Linked DNA regions of Neodiprion lecontei. The protein of the gene in region 3 purifies or fractionates together with the protein of the main gene of each other region. This does not show direct contact. Links are inferred from orthologs where the notes say so. Each region holds a gene or a part of one and is shown on either strand. Other genes may lie near its edges.

Region 1 (3,719 bases), on a different chromosome or scaffold from region 3:
TGTTCCGGCGAAATACCCTTTGACGCAACCAATAATTATACTGTTCTAAGGAATGAATTTTTCGTCATATACATATGTATACAATTGTGATTCATAGAAAATACATTAGTATAAATCCCGCGACCAGACCTAAGTTTGATGATATAGACGAATTAGAGGTACGGAATATTATAATTATGTGGATAAATTAAGCAACCCAACATAAAATAAAGTTCGTAGAGTATAGCTTGAAATTACATGCCGACCCACAAACACGACTGCAAGCTGCAAAGCGGAACGTGCAGCCGGGCTTCTCGTTTCCCGGCATGCCCGGTGCGGGTAACGATGGGCGTGTCGTTTGGAGCTCTGTGCTCTCTGATTGGCCCGGCGGCCGTACCTGGCCGCCTAATAAATATGCTGCTTGAGAGAGCGCAGGTACAGTCGTCCTTCGATTCTCGACATCGACGCATAGGAGACAATGACGCCAAAGTCTAGCGGTAAAGCAGCGAAGAAAGCCGGTAAGGCTCAGAAGAATATATCGAAGGGTGACAAAAAGAAGAAGCGCAAGAGGAAGGAGAGCTACGCTATCTACATCTACAAAGTCCTGAAGCAGGTCCACCCAGACACTGGTATTTCGAGCAAAGCTATGAGCATCATGAACAGCTTTGTCAACGACATTTTCGAACGCATTGCCGCCGAATCGTCTCGTCTAGCTCATTACAACAAACGCTCGACGATCACATCTCGGGAGATTCAAACTGCTGTTCGCCTTCTGCTTCCTGGAGAACTTGCTAAGCACGCTGTCAGCGAGGGTACCAAAGCTGTCACCAAATACACCAGCTCGAAATAAGCGCGACTGCCTCAATTTGTTTACGAATCGGCCCTTTTCAGGGCCACTAATCATTGTAAACGCTAAAGAACGGTATTTCACAGATGTAACAGTCTGAAGTGTGTGAGGGGTAATTGTACAACCTTTTATGGCGAATTGTTTGACAATTTGGTGATCTCGTTATTTTTTTAATTGTCCAAATATCTGCATACCTTACTATCACGTCAAAATCTTTTCCCGCAATGTGTATGAAAAAGTTTCAGTATATTATACAGAATTCGGGCGCAATGCGTTGAATATCAGACAACTTCGTACGTGAATTATAGGCTCTGCAAACAGCTAATAATTATAAGATCGAATATTATCTAAGCAATAATTTTAAATTCATTCTGAGTCTTTTACCAAGCTGATATTGGCTTCATCAGTACTACATAATATTACGGATATTTAAATGCTCACATCGTGCGTCCTATTCAGATATATGTGTTCAACATTTAGCTTGCCTTCTGGAATAATAATTACCGAAAAGTGTCTGACGGGTTTGATATTAATCAAAACAAAAATCCACCTACACGTTTACTTTGAGCTGCAGGTATCCACGTGAGAAATAGATGGAAAATAGATGCACGCATGTACGGATATTATGTGCACTGGGTAGCGCGAGAGCTCTCAATCCCCTCCTGTGCTCTAAATTCTCTTGGCTGATAGAGAGGGGATGTCAAGTGGAGGGGACGACTGAGCCCAGGGCGGATTTCACCTTGTCGCTTATTGTGAAGGTCACGCTAGCAGGTATTTGGTTAAGTTCTCGCAGAGAGCAGAACAATTCGCAAGTATTCATCAGAGAATTGTCAGCAAGGCAGTCTGAGAATCATGGGTCGTAAATTTTTCGTTGGTGGTAACTGGAAGATGAATGGAGTGAAAAAGGAAATAGACGAAATCGTCGCATTTCTAAAGACCGGCCCCCTCGACCCGAATGTCGGTACGTGCAAGTTGCAATGTTACGTTTATTTCAAATAACCTACTGTGTATGTATTAACATTGCGTTTCTCCAAACAAATACAAACTAAATCTGTAGGCAAAAGCGTCGTCTCTGTTGCTGATGAAACAAAAATTGTACGTTAATACTATTTTATATTTCTCTTCTAGCACTTTCAAATTTTATTCAATATTTATTCGGAACTTTTATCTACGATTTACTCTTGTTGGGACATGACGATAAATCACTGTATTCTATCAAAGAGTCAAAATATCTTGTCACTAATTGCGTTATTAACTTTTTCAGAGGTCGTTGTTGGTGTACCTGCCATTTACCTGAACTATGCCAAGAGTATATTACCTGCCAACGTACAAGTCAGTGCACAGAACAGTTACAAGGTAGCTAAAGGTGCTTTTACTGGAGAAATTAGCCCTGCGATGCTTGTGGACAATGAGATCCCTTGGGTAATCCTAGGACACTCTGAACGTCGAAACGTGTTTGGCGAGTCAGATGAACTCATTTCTGAAAAGATTGCTCATGCCCTTGAAGCTGGTGTAAAGGTAAATCCTTTGGATTAAGTCTCAGTTCTCAATTTTTACATTGGATTGCTTTTTTTTTTTAATAAGAATATTTATACAATAGGTGTGTTGTAACTCGATATGACTCTTGACAGTATTGTATATATCTTATTTATTTTTCACCCTAAAGGTGATTGCCTGTATCGGAGAGAAACTGGACGAACGTGAAGCTGGAAAGACTGAAGAAGTTGTGTTCAGGCAGACTAAGGCGATTGCGGATAAAATCAAATCCTGGGACAATGTTGTACTCGCTTACGAACCTGTATGGGCCATCGGTACAGGAAAAACAGCAACGCCTCAACAAGCTCAGGAGGTGCATGACAAACTTAGGCAATGGTTATCAACGACTGTTAATCCTGCTGTCTCTGAATCTCTGAGGATTATTTACGGTGGTTCTGTGACAGCAGGAAACGCCAAAGAGCTAGCTAAGGAAAAAGATATCGATGGCTTTTTGGTCGGCGGTGCTTCTCTGAAGCCAGATTTCGTACAAATAGTTAACGCTAAGCAATAGACCTAAGTTGATAAGTTTATTGTGTTGGTTGTTACTACTATTAATAAATGTGATTATTGTTACTCTATGAACGAATGTATAATACATATATAGAAATTTACTCAGCGTTAGAGTAAATGGGTACAACAATAATACTAATAATTCAGTCATAAACATCTGGTTCAATTACTAAATATATTTATCATTTTGTTTATTGTATTAGTGAATATTATAAATTACGTTACATCAGCTTCTCATCAATACTATATTATTCTCTATAGCTTAAGTTCACTTCATTCTCTGAAGTTCACTTAAGCATTCCTCTTGTTATTACACCAGGTGGTGTTTTTACATACATCACATCATTAAGACCATCCTGCTTTCCTCTGGCAATTGCTAATTGAGTCAGTGACTTAAAACTTCTGGGTTCCCATATTGCCAGATCAACCAGAGTCTTTCTATCGATCAGAATATTGTTTCGCATCAACGCCTCTTTAAATGTCCGGAGATTTATATCATGCTCGGCACATGCAGCTGTGAGCCTTGTGTTCCAGAGCTGGAAAATTAATAGATCACAACATTGATAATATTGGTAAGATACATTTTGAAATTTTGCATGAAATATATGAACATTTGCTTGTATAGATTCCTGTTACAGTCGCAGACATATTCTTAATATGTGTCAAGGTGTCAGGTAGAATTTTATGTCTTCTACAAATGCTTAGGTTCTATCGAGTACTTACATTCAACATATCAGCTTTCTTGAGCTTCCTACTCATAGTAGCATAACGCAAAGCACGATGTACATATCTTATAGCGATACTGTAGCAGTTTCTCTTACGGCCAACGAAGTGCTGCGGAATATCG
Region 2 (3,719 bases), on a different chromosome or scaffold from region 3:
TAAATGATTTAGCCAATTTTTGATATCATGTCTGTAGTTAAGTGATAGAACAGTTTGAAATTGTGTAAGATACGAATTAGAAACAAATAATTCTTCAGTACAGTGTTCTAGTGCTCCTAATTTCTGTGAATATAACATACACGCACGTATTTAGAATTGCCTGGTTCAAGAAGTTTTGATAATATTTTTTCTACTCAAAAGTTGTTATAGATGTGAATTTCACCAGTCATAGATATTTATTCTGATTTCAGAATTTACAAAAATGAAGTTCCTCAACGTTGTATTTGTGTTGGCGGCAGCTTTGGTGCTGGCACTGGCGGGATGTGAAGCACAGAGGTTCGATTTTCACATTCCACCATTCAACCCAAAAGACAAAGTCAAGCTTCCTCCAATTAGATTTTAAGCCGTGCTGCAGTAGGATGAAATAATGTAATATGTGAAAAATACAATCGATCTTGTTTAAGAGTTTTCTGAAAACGTTACTTTCTTGTTTCTCTGTCACTATTGCAATTCTTAAGTATAGGAGAGAATCTAATCTTAATAATAATAAAAGAAGTACACGTAAATCTTATAGAAGTAATGTTATTTATTAAAAACTGTCATTCGTCATCCTGGCCAGCCTTCTGGAAAACTTTCTCTTACGTCGCTTCGTCTTGTAGTACCAAATTACTTGTACTCATCACAAAGCATGCCTCGGGCAACTGTAGTTGCTTCTGGTTTTCCTATCAAGGCTTCAACGATTGCCAATCCAAACAAGTATGCAGTCGAAGGTCCCTGGCTTGTGATGAAATTGCCTAAATCATAAGTAAAAATGCATCAATTTACTCTTTATGCATCAAGTTAGCAGTAGGTAATAAATAAGTTTGATGTTCATTGTGCAGTTTCTCACCATCAATCACCACCTTCTCATCTATATACGTATAGTCATCTTGTAACTGATCCTTCATCGATGGGTAGGCAGTGATTTTCTTGCCCTTGGCAAGTCCGTGGGCTTTCAATGCAGTTGGCGCTGCACAAATAGCTGCCACTAGTCGATTTTCACTCGCTTGTTTTTGGAGGATGGCGCCAACTTTGTCCGACTGTGATAAAAAGTACATTGTGTTCAGATAGCAGACAGAAATTTCAATTCAGGTAGGCAAGATTTAGAGGGTTTTTTTTCTTCCGTTTTAGGCTGAAACTATCCATGTATACCTGTAGGTAAACGGAATGTATACATGACCTTACTTTAGCCAAGGCTTGAGAGCCAGCAAGTCCACCGGGCATTATAACAACGTCGTAAGCTTTATCCTTGTGTTCATCCGTCAGTTGTTCATCGGGGCAAATTTTCACACCTCTGCTACATGTGACGACATTGCTGCCGTCGAGACTGGCTACAGTTACTGCAATCTGAAAAAAAATGGAGACGTAGTAATATCCATGCAGCTATTTTCTCATTTTTTCTAGCACTATAGAAGCTTAAAAACGTAGCTCAGGCACTCATCACATTGGTTTCTTTTTATATCATACTTGTCCCAGTTTAATCTTGGAATTTAAGGTTTGAGGTAGATCATTAAGAGGACGAAATATTAAAGTTAAAAAAAATAACAATACCGGTATATCGACGTAGAATCTTGTTGCATACTGTCAAAATAAATGTGCATTCGTACCCCAGCACGTCGAAGAACATCGATGGTGATAACCGCTTCCATTTCCTCCGCGCCTTCGGCCAGGAGTAAAATCGCTGTTTTTGGCATTTTAAATTAGATTTTTGATTCCTCTTCTCCGTGTACTTGTATTCTATACTCGGCTTTAATCTTTAATAGAATTCTAAGCCAAGGTCATCTACGCGCCGCACCGCAACAGCTGATCGCTTGACGAACGTAGAGCGTGAATATAATTGAGATTGTCACTTTGCAATGCGTCATCTAGTAGAAAAAAATCAAACTAATGCAACCAGGTAGCTGAGACATACTGCTGATCGTTGACCGTGTTTTTTCACGTGTGGATAGTAGAACACATATATTACTGGTCGTGTTTAATTAATTTATGTGATACGAGTAATTTCAAACCCCAAGAATTACGATTTGCCTCCATTAAAATTAAAAACTTTGGTTATGTGGTGATAAAATGGCGCTGATAACCAGGCTCTGACGTCATGTGGACAATTTCCAGTAGAAACAGGCGCGCAACGATTCGAGCGAGGATTCGAGAAGCGATTTGAAATACTCCCCGTGTTGCGCGCCGCAGCGCTGCTGCTCTGAAATGCTAAATAAACACGCTTCATAAATAATCAGGAGAATTCAAAAAGACTGGGGCGATTTATTTTAGGACAAAAGTACAAGGAGACGCGTGACGTTTGAAGTCCGTTCCAGGAATCCAGAAAGATACTCGTTGATTCCAAAAGACGTTCGTTGATTTTTGACTAATTAAATAAATACATGCATATTCGAAAGGGGAAACCGTAACAATATTTTGAAAAATGCTTCTGGTTTTTTTTCAGCCGGTTTCAAATGGCACCATTGAATACACTTACACCTTTCACAATTTTACCAGAATACAATTTTCTTTACATACACAATACAACTGATGAAAAAATTGAATTATTTCTACAATTACTTCATGATGATACGGGTTCATGATATATTGGTTCTAGCTAAAATATCGCCAAGTGTTTTCAAATCATTTTTCACCTGTGGCGTACCGCTTTTTAGAGCCATATAACTAGTGTCCGGAACCAATTAATATCACTTTAAGATCGACACTCTCTTAACTATTAAAACATTATACTTTCCTGGATATGCTTCCACCCTTAGTCTCGCCATGCATTTAATATCATATTCAATTTATCACGTGCAAGTCGTACCGATCCTACACTGCTAGTACGGAGTTAATTAGCTAGAAGCTTCTCTAGTTGCAACGAGCTCGAAGTTCTTTCTTTCATCTGTAATGGTCCGACTGGCTCTACCCTTCCGAATGATAATCACGTACCCAGTAACTCCTATACAAAGAATAGCCAACAAAATGTACAACTTTATGTTTGTGCATAAGTAGGGGCTGTAAGCATAGGCTAATACTGAACCGGTTGCTTCCCAAAGTCGGAAGTTTGAATAAGCAGCTTCTTCCTTGCCAGGGAAAAGAATGCCACTCAATGCTGAAAAAGAATAATAAGCGGTATTTCTTCATCCATAAATTAAGATGCGTAAAAATAATAAGATCCGGATAGCAAGTTAACTGATTCTAAATTTAACAAGTCAACTACAATTGTCACTCACCATTAACTTGAACAAGCCAAATAGCATCGCAGACTCCCCACAATCCCGACATCATAAAAAATATGATTCCCTGTTCCGGTGTCGGCTTCCAGAGCAATAGTGCTACTATTATTGCAACATGAAGAATGAATGCGAAAACCATTACCGGAGTTCGTCCAGTGAGTTTTACCACGGACCCCGTGCTTATAGCAGCAATCGCATTTGCCACTCCGTAGCAAATCATCACGTAACCGATATTACTAATACCCCATGCGCAGGAGACGAACGCCTGCGATTAGTAAATAATAAGCGGTTGTGAGTTGCTAGAAGTGGCAGGAAACAAGCAAATTTCATTGGCCATGTTCTCGACTCATTCCTTGGATTACTTACGGCGTTGAAATCGGCAAAAAGGAAAGCTTGCTCAGCCCCGATGAACAGTGTTATCGGTAAAATGAGCAGCTGTCTCTTTTCTTTCAGTAACTTCAAAGT
Region 3 (4,302 bases):
TGAATCATCGTATTCTGCAGGTTTTATTTACCAAAATAAATTGTATACATATAAAATCGACAGTGATAAATGATAGAGGTGCATGGTTCTTACTATTTTCCCTGAATTAGGCTTCGAAGACTGATAATTTGTGTTTGCAATTCTCAACTTCTATTCTTAGTGAAGAGTAGAACTGATTATTTAATCTATGATATATAAATATATATATTTTTGTTTTTAAAATGGAATGATAATAATTGTTGGATATTTATGAAATTGTATAGACCATCGCATGTTATTATTTATATATATCGAGAAATCACTTGATCGAATGAATAAGTGGTTATTTCTACAAAGAACCAATAAAAATTTCCTCACAATGTCAGGTGAGTCTACAGCAGTATCGTAAAAGATTAATTATTGATAATTGTAAAACGAATATGCGAAATAAAAGTTTAACGTTGGTGATAATTATCATTTCACTCACTGGGTGTGATGTCCGTTTCGAAAAAAATTGAAGAAATGCGACCAAATTATTTTTAATTAGATTTTATTATATATGTGTATCGCTGGCACAAGGCACAACGAGATAGTTGGTGGTTTCTTCAGAACAATGTATCTATGCTAATAGTACATACAGGGAATGACGAGTAACTTTTGGAAAGTTCAAGAGACCAGTATTAATAGTAATTATAACAATCAAGATAAAAGTAAGAATAAAGTGTCAGTATCGATATATCTGCGATGGCTTTTTAGATTTTATTGCGCAGTCAGGCCTTTGTGATACCGATAACGCCGCAAGCCAAACGACCTCCCGCATTTCCAGTTGTTTTGGACAGCTCGTGCCCACCTAGGCCCAAGTCATCGGGATCTGCGTGAACCTGCGATATTCACCACAATTTTTAGCACATTATTAACATAATATGTACTCAGGGCGATGACAATTTTCCTGAAATACAATTTTTTGACTTTTCTAGTTAAAAAATTCAGAATTTCTTATAGTGCTGGGCTTTTACAAACAAGAGCTCCAGAAATTTTGCACCTTCAATGTCCGTCATAATTCCCTGATTTTTCCCAGGCTTCCTGGTCTTTCGCCACCTTGACTGACTATATATCTGTCTTTCATGGAAAAAAATATATAATTTTAGTCAGTCACTTACCACGACTGTTCTGCCAATGATGTTGTGTGGTCCCTGCAGCTGAATCAGCTTGTCTGTTATGTTGACCTTGGCAACGCCATCCTTTCCAGCCTCAATGTTTCCTAAGTCACCAACATGACGAATTTCAGCTGTGGGAGCTCCATGCTCCTTACTTAACGGATTGAAGTGTGGTCCAGCACTGGTGCATCCTTAAAAAAGTATTTGTATTATACCATACATAGATAAGCTTGAATAATGTATGAAGTGACTTACGAAATAGATAAGTTACCCCAACAAGTGATAATTCATCAGCAATTTAAAGTATAGCACAGTATGGAGAATAATTTTTAGATATGTAGTGTAAAGTCATTAGGAACCAATCCCTCATACAGTGAATTTTCTCAATGACGAGGTCAGTATTGTTCAAGTCATAAATCTTTTGTAAAAATATCCGTACTTGTAATCAAATTAATCTGTCTAATTACATAACGTTAAGAGTGACTCAGCACAAGGATACCTATTCAAATATTGCTAATGGACAGTATTGGATTATATAACAAGGAGATAAGTTTTCATTCCTTGCCTGTTGACCGTGAACCTTGACTTATGATCACCAAGTCAAATTGCATTTTTTGTTGCAAGTCAGACTTGAAGTATCTAAAATTATGGTGCTACATCAGCGACGTAATTTCTCGCTGATATCAACAAGGTAATAGTTTCCTTGATATATTTTTATTTTTGCAATTTTTCTTAATACAAACCATTAGTGTTGTCGCCGAACTCGTGTATGTGGAAGCCATGTAGCCCAGGCTTTAAACCAGTCACTTCTCCGGTGACTTTGACGGGGCTAGAATCTCCCTGAAATAGCAATTATGACGAATTGAGGTAGGAGCGGGTATCAAGGAGGCGATGAGAAACAGAAGTAAAAGAAATCTTTTCCTAAGCTTACAGCCTGTTCGAAGAATAAGGTGCCCTTAACTTCTCCGTTGAGAACGCAAACCCCCTTCACGGTCATTTTGGATTATTACGAGATACCGGTTGCGGAGAAATGGAACGTAACAACACTCTCTGTTGATCAAACGCGACTGGTCACACAACTGGCCACTCGAAATGATTTCCGATATTTTGCGTTCTAATGCTGAATCATGAATGCAAAGTGATGTCTGAGTGCCGTGTGAAACGATATTATGGTCAATGGGGGTACAGTCGCCCGCTATGTAGTATTATAGAGCTCATAGCATGGAGGTAAATCTCAGTACACGCTGTCTCTCTCACTCTGCACCGTGATTGGCTAGCAGAGCGAGTTCAGCCAATCACGGCGCAGAGCGAGAAAGACAAAATGTACTGATATACCACCTCCGTACGTGTATGCTCGGTCGGTAGCGTAGGATAATCAAAGCCCTTAGCTTCCAGCTCAAGGCAACGTCACCCGCCTTATTTTATTGATATTTCAGAGATGACGCCACCTTGCGATTCGGGCTCTGCGCGTAGCAGAGATGAGTAGGTAGCATTCGGTTCGTGTTCTTCCTTTCAGCCATCAAGCAGCTCACTCTCCAAAATAATTTGACGTTTACAATTAAAGCGACGATGCCCAAGTGTGTTGACGGTTCAGCCTCGCTCGACCTAGACAAGACTTTTATCATACGATTCGATCTATTTCTCCGTTTCATGAGAGAAACACGGTCATTGTTCTCGGTCCAAAATGGGTTTTAGAATTATAAAAATACCTTAAAAGGAGATCGGGAAATCCGACTCTCTGGAACAGTAAATTCCAACTAAAATGGAAAATGCGCAGCGATCACGTATGAATTGTGTATAACTCGTCGGTGTCTGAGGCAATCTTGGACTTAGCCAGATTGAGGTTTGATAAGTGAAATGTGTTGTTTCCGAGTCAGTTATTACTCATAGGTACAATGATTAAAAAGATACCGCTTATCACAGATTAAAAGAATTCGTTAAACGCGGACGTACCGTACGTTTCCGATCAACGTCTGATTATATCTTCTCATTTATCGTGTTCGGATGTATTGTAGCTGTTAATAAGGTGTCCAATTTCCTGTGTTATTCACAATATTAACTCGAGTTCGTTCCCTGCACCATATCTTGCCACTGGTGATAAATATTCCGCACCGATCATAACAGCTGTGTAACCCTTTGAAACACAGGAATACCGCGTCTAGTAAATCTTTCTGACAAATAATTGCAAGACCAAAATGTCTGGCGGTGAGCGAAAAAAGAGAGGCGGAGGAGGCGGTCAAGGGTGGGAAGAAGCTGGCGCAGAATTCTATCAAGAAAGCTATCCTGCGGCCATAGAAGCTGACCTTCAGGCACTGCAAAGAGATCCGTCACACATAGCCACGTTACTACCGAGCAAAAAAACCCGTGTCGGTAAGACAATTTATCATTGTCATACTCTTTTCCGTCCGACAGTTTGTCATTTTTACTCATTTTCTAGATGCTATTATTTCCTCTGTTTTAGCAACTACAAAGCGTGTTCGAAATGAGCCGCGAACTACGCTTAGACGAAGAACAAGCACTCGATCCCGTGGAGCAAGTACGGTGCGACGTATGTCTACTAATGTGCACGATGTCGCAGTAGCGATGCTGCCTGACCTCTCGGAAAACTTGTCCAATGAGGAACGAATTTGGGAAGAAATAATGCAAATAAAGGCGATGCCGATTTGCATGGCTCAAAAAATACAGCTGAAACATCAGCTGCAGGTATAAATCTCTTCGCTTTTCCATTATCCTTTTTTGCTAAGTTTAATTAGACGTAAACTATTCGGTAACTAATATAACATTATTTTCTTTCAAAGAGTGCGACAAAACTGCGACTGCAAGGATTTGATCAGCTGAAATGGCAGCGTAGAAAGGTATGGCAGCAGTTTCGTGTTCGGTTGAAAGAGACGTACTCGAAAATGGAACTGTGGCACCACAGTTTGAAAAAAATTGAAGGAAACTTTGGCACAGGCATTGTGGCATATTTTTTGTTCTTAAAATGGTTGATGTTCTTAAACGTACTGCTGTTTCTGCTGATACTGGCTTTTATCCTTCTGCCCACAATACTGATGGTAGCACCAGAAGCTGAGTCCTGCGTCTACGGTACCAATTCCACAAATGGCAGTGTCGCCTGCTGCTCGAAAGCATATCAGAACATTAACACGAGCACATCCACTGACATCAC

Evidence for each region.
Region 1: the proteins of superoxide dismutase [Cu-Zn] (region 3) and triosephosphate isomerase purify together in Homo sapiens (affinity purification with mass spectrometry; 3 studies listed by BioGRID, with this or other methods). This does not show direct contact. The link is inferred for Neodiprion lecontei from reciprocal best matches to the Homo sapiens genes SOD1 and TPI1.
Region 2: the proteins of superoxide dismutase [Cu-Zn] (region 3) and protein dj-1beta purify together in Homo sapiens (affinity purification with mass spectrometry; 4 studies listed by BioGRID and IntAct, with this or other methods). This does not show direct contact. The link is inferred for Neodiprion lecontei from reciprocal best matches to the Homo sapiens genes SOD1 and PARK7.

Annotation. Positions count from the first base shown.
Region 1 is NC_060263.1:38,379,587-38,383,305, forward strand, and holds triosephosphate isomerase, read left to right. Parts: upstream 1-1,556; 5' UTR 1,557-1,678; coding exon 1,679-1,787; intron 1,788-2,090; coding exon 2,091-2,344; intron 2,345-2,492; coding exon 2,493-2,873; 3' UTR 2,874-3,102; downstream 3,103-3,719. Other genes in the region: histone H2B-like, read left to right, coding at 458-829; 39S ribosomal protein L20, mitochondrial, read right to left, coding at 3,160-3,408, 3,596-3,706. UniProt on the Homo sapiens protein: Triosephosphate isomerase is an extremely efficient metabolic enzyme that catalyzes the interconversion between dihydroxyacetone phosphate (DHAP) and D-glyceraldehyde-3-phosphate (G3P) in glycolysis and gluconeogenesis.
Region 2 is NC_060264.1:28,362,846-28,366,564, forward strand, and holds protein dj-1beta, read right to left. Parts: upstream 1,946-3,719; 5' UTR 1,734-1,945; coding exon 1,647-1,733; intron 1,387-1,646; coding exon 1,225-1,386; intron 1,080-1,224; coding exon 890-1,079; intron 795-889; coding exon 667-794; 3' UTR 567-666; downstream 1-566. Other genes in the region: UNC93-like protein, read right to left, coding at 2,871-3,130, 3,252-3,519, 3,621-3,719. UniProt on the Homo sapiens protein: Multifunctional protein with controversial molecular function which plays an important role in cell protection against oxidative stress and cell death acting as oxidative stress sensor and redox-sensitive chaperone and protease.
Region 3 is NC_060266.1:24,806,305-24,810,606, reverse strand, and holds superoxide dismutase [Cu-Zn], read right to left. Parts: upstream 2,297-4,302; 5' UTR 2,134-2,296; coding exon 2,068-2,133; intron 1,977-2,067; coding exon 1,880-1,976; intron 1,328-1,879; coding exon 1,140-1,327; intron 861-1,139; coding exon 750-860; 3' UTR 513-749; downstream 1-512. Other genes in the region: transmembrane channel-like protein 7, read left to right, coding at 3,332-3,506, 3,598-3,839, 3,935-4,302. UniProt on the Homo sapiens protein: Destroys radicals which are normally produced within the cells and which are toxic to biological systems.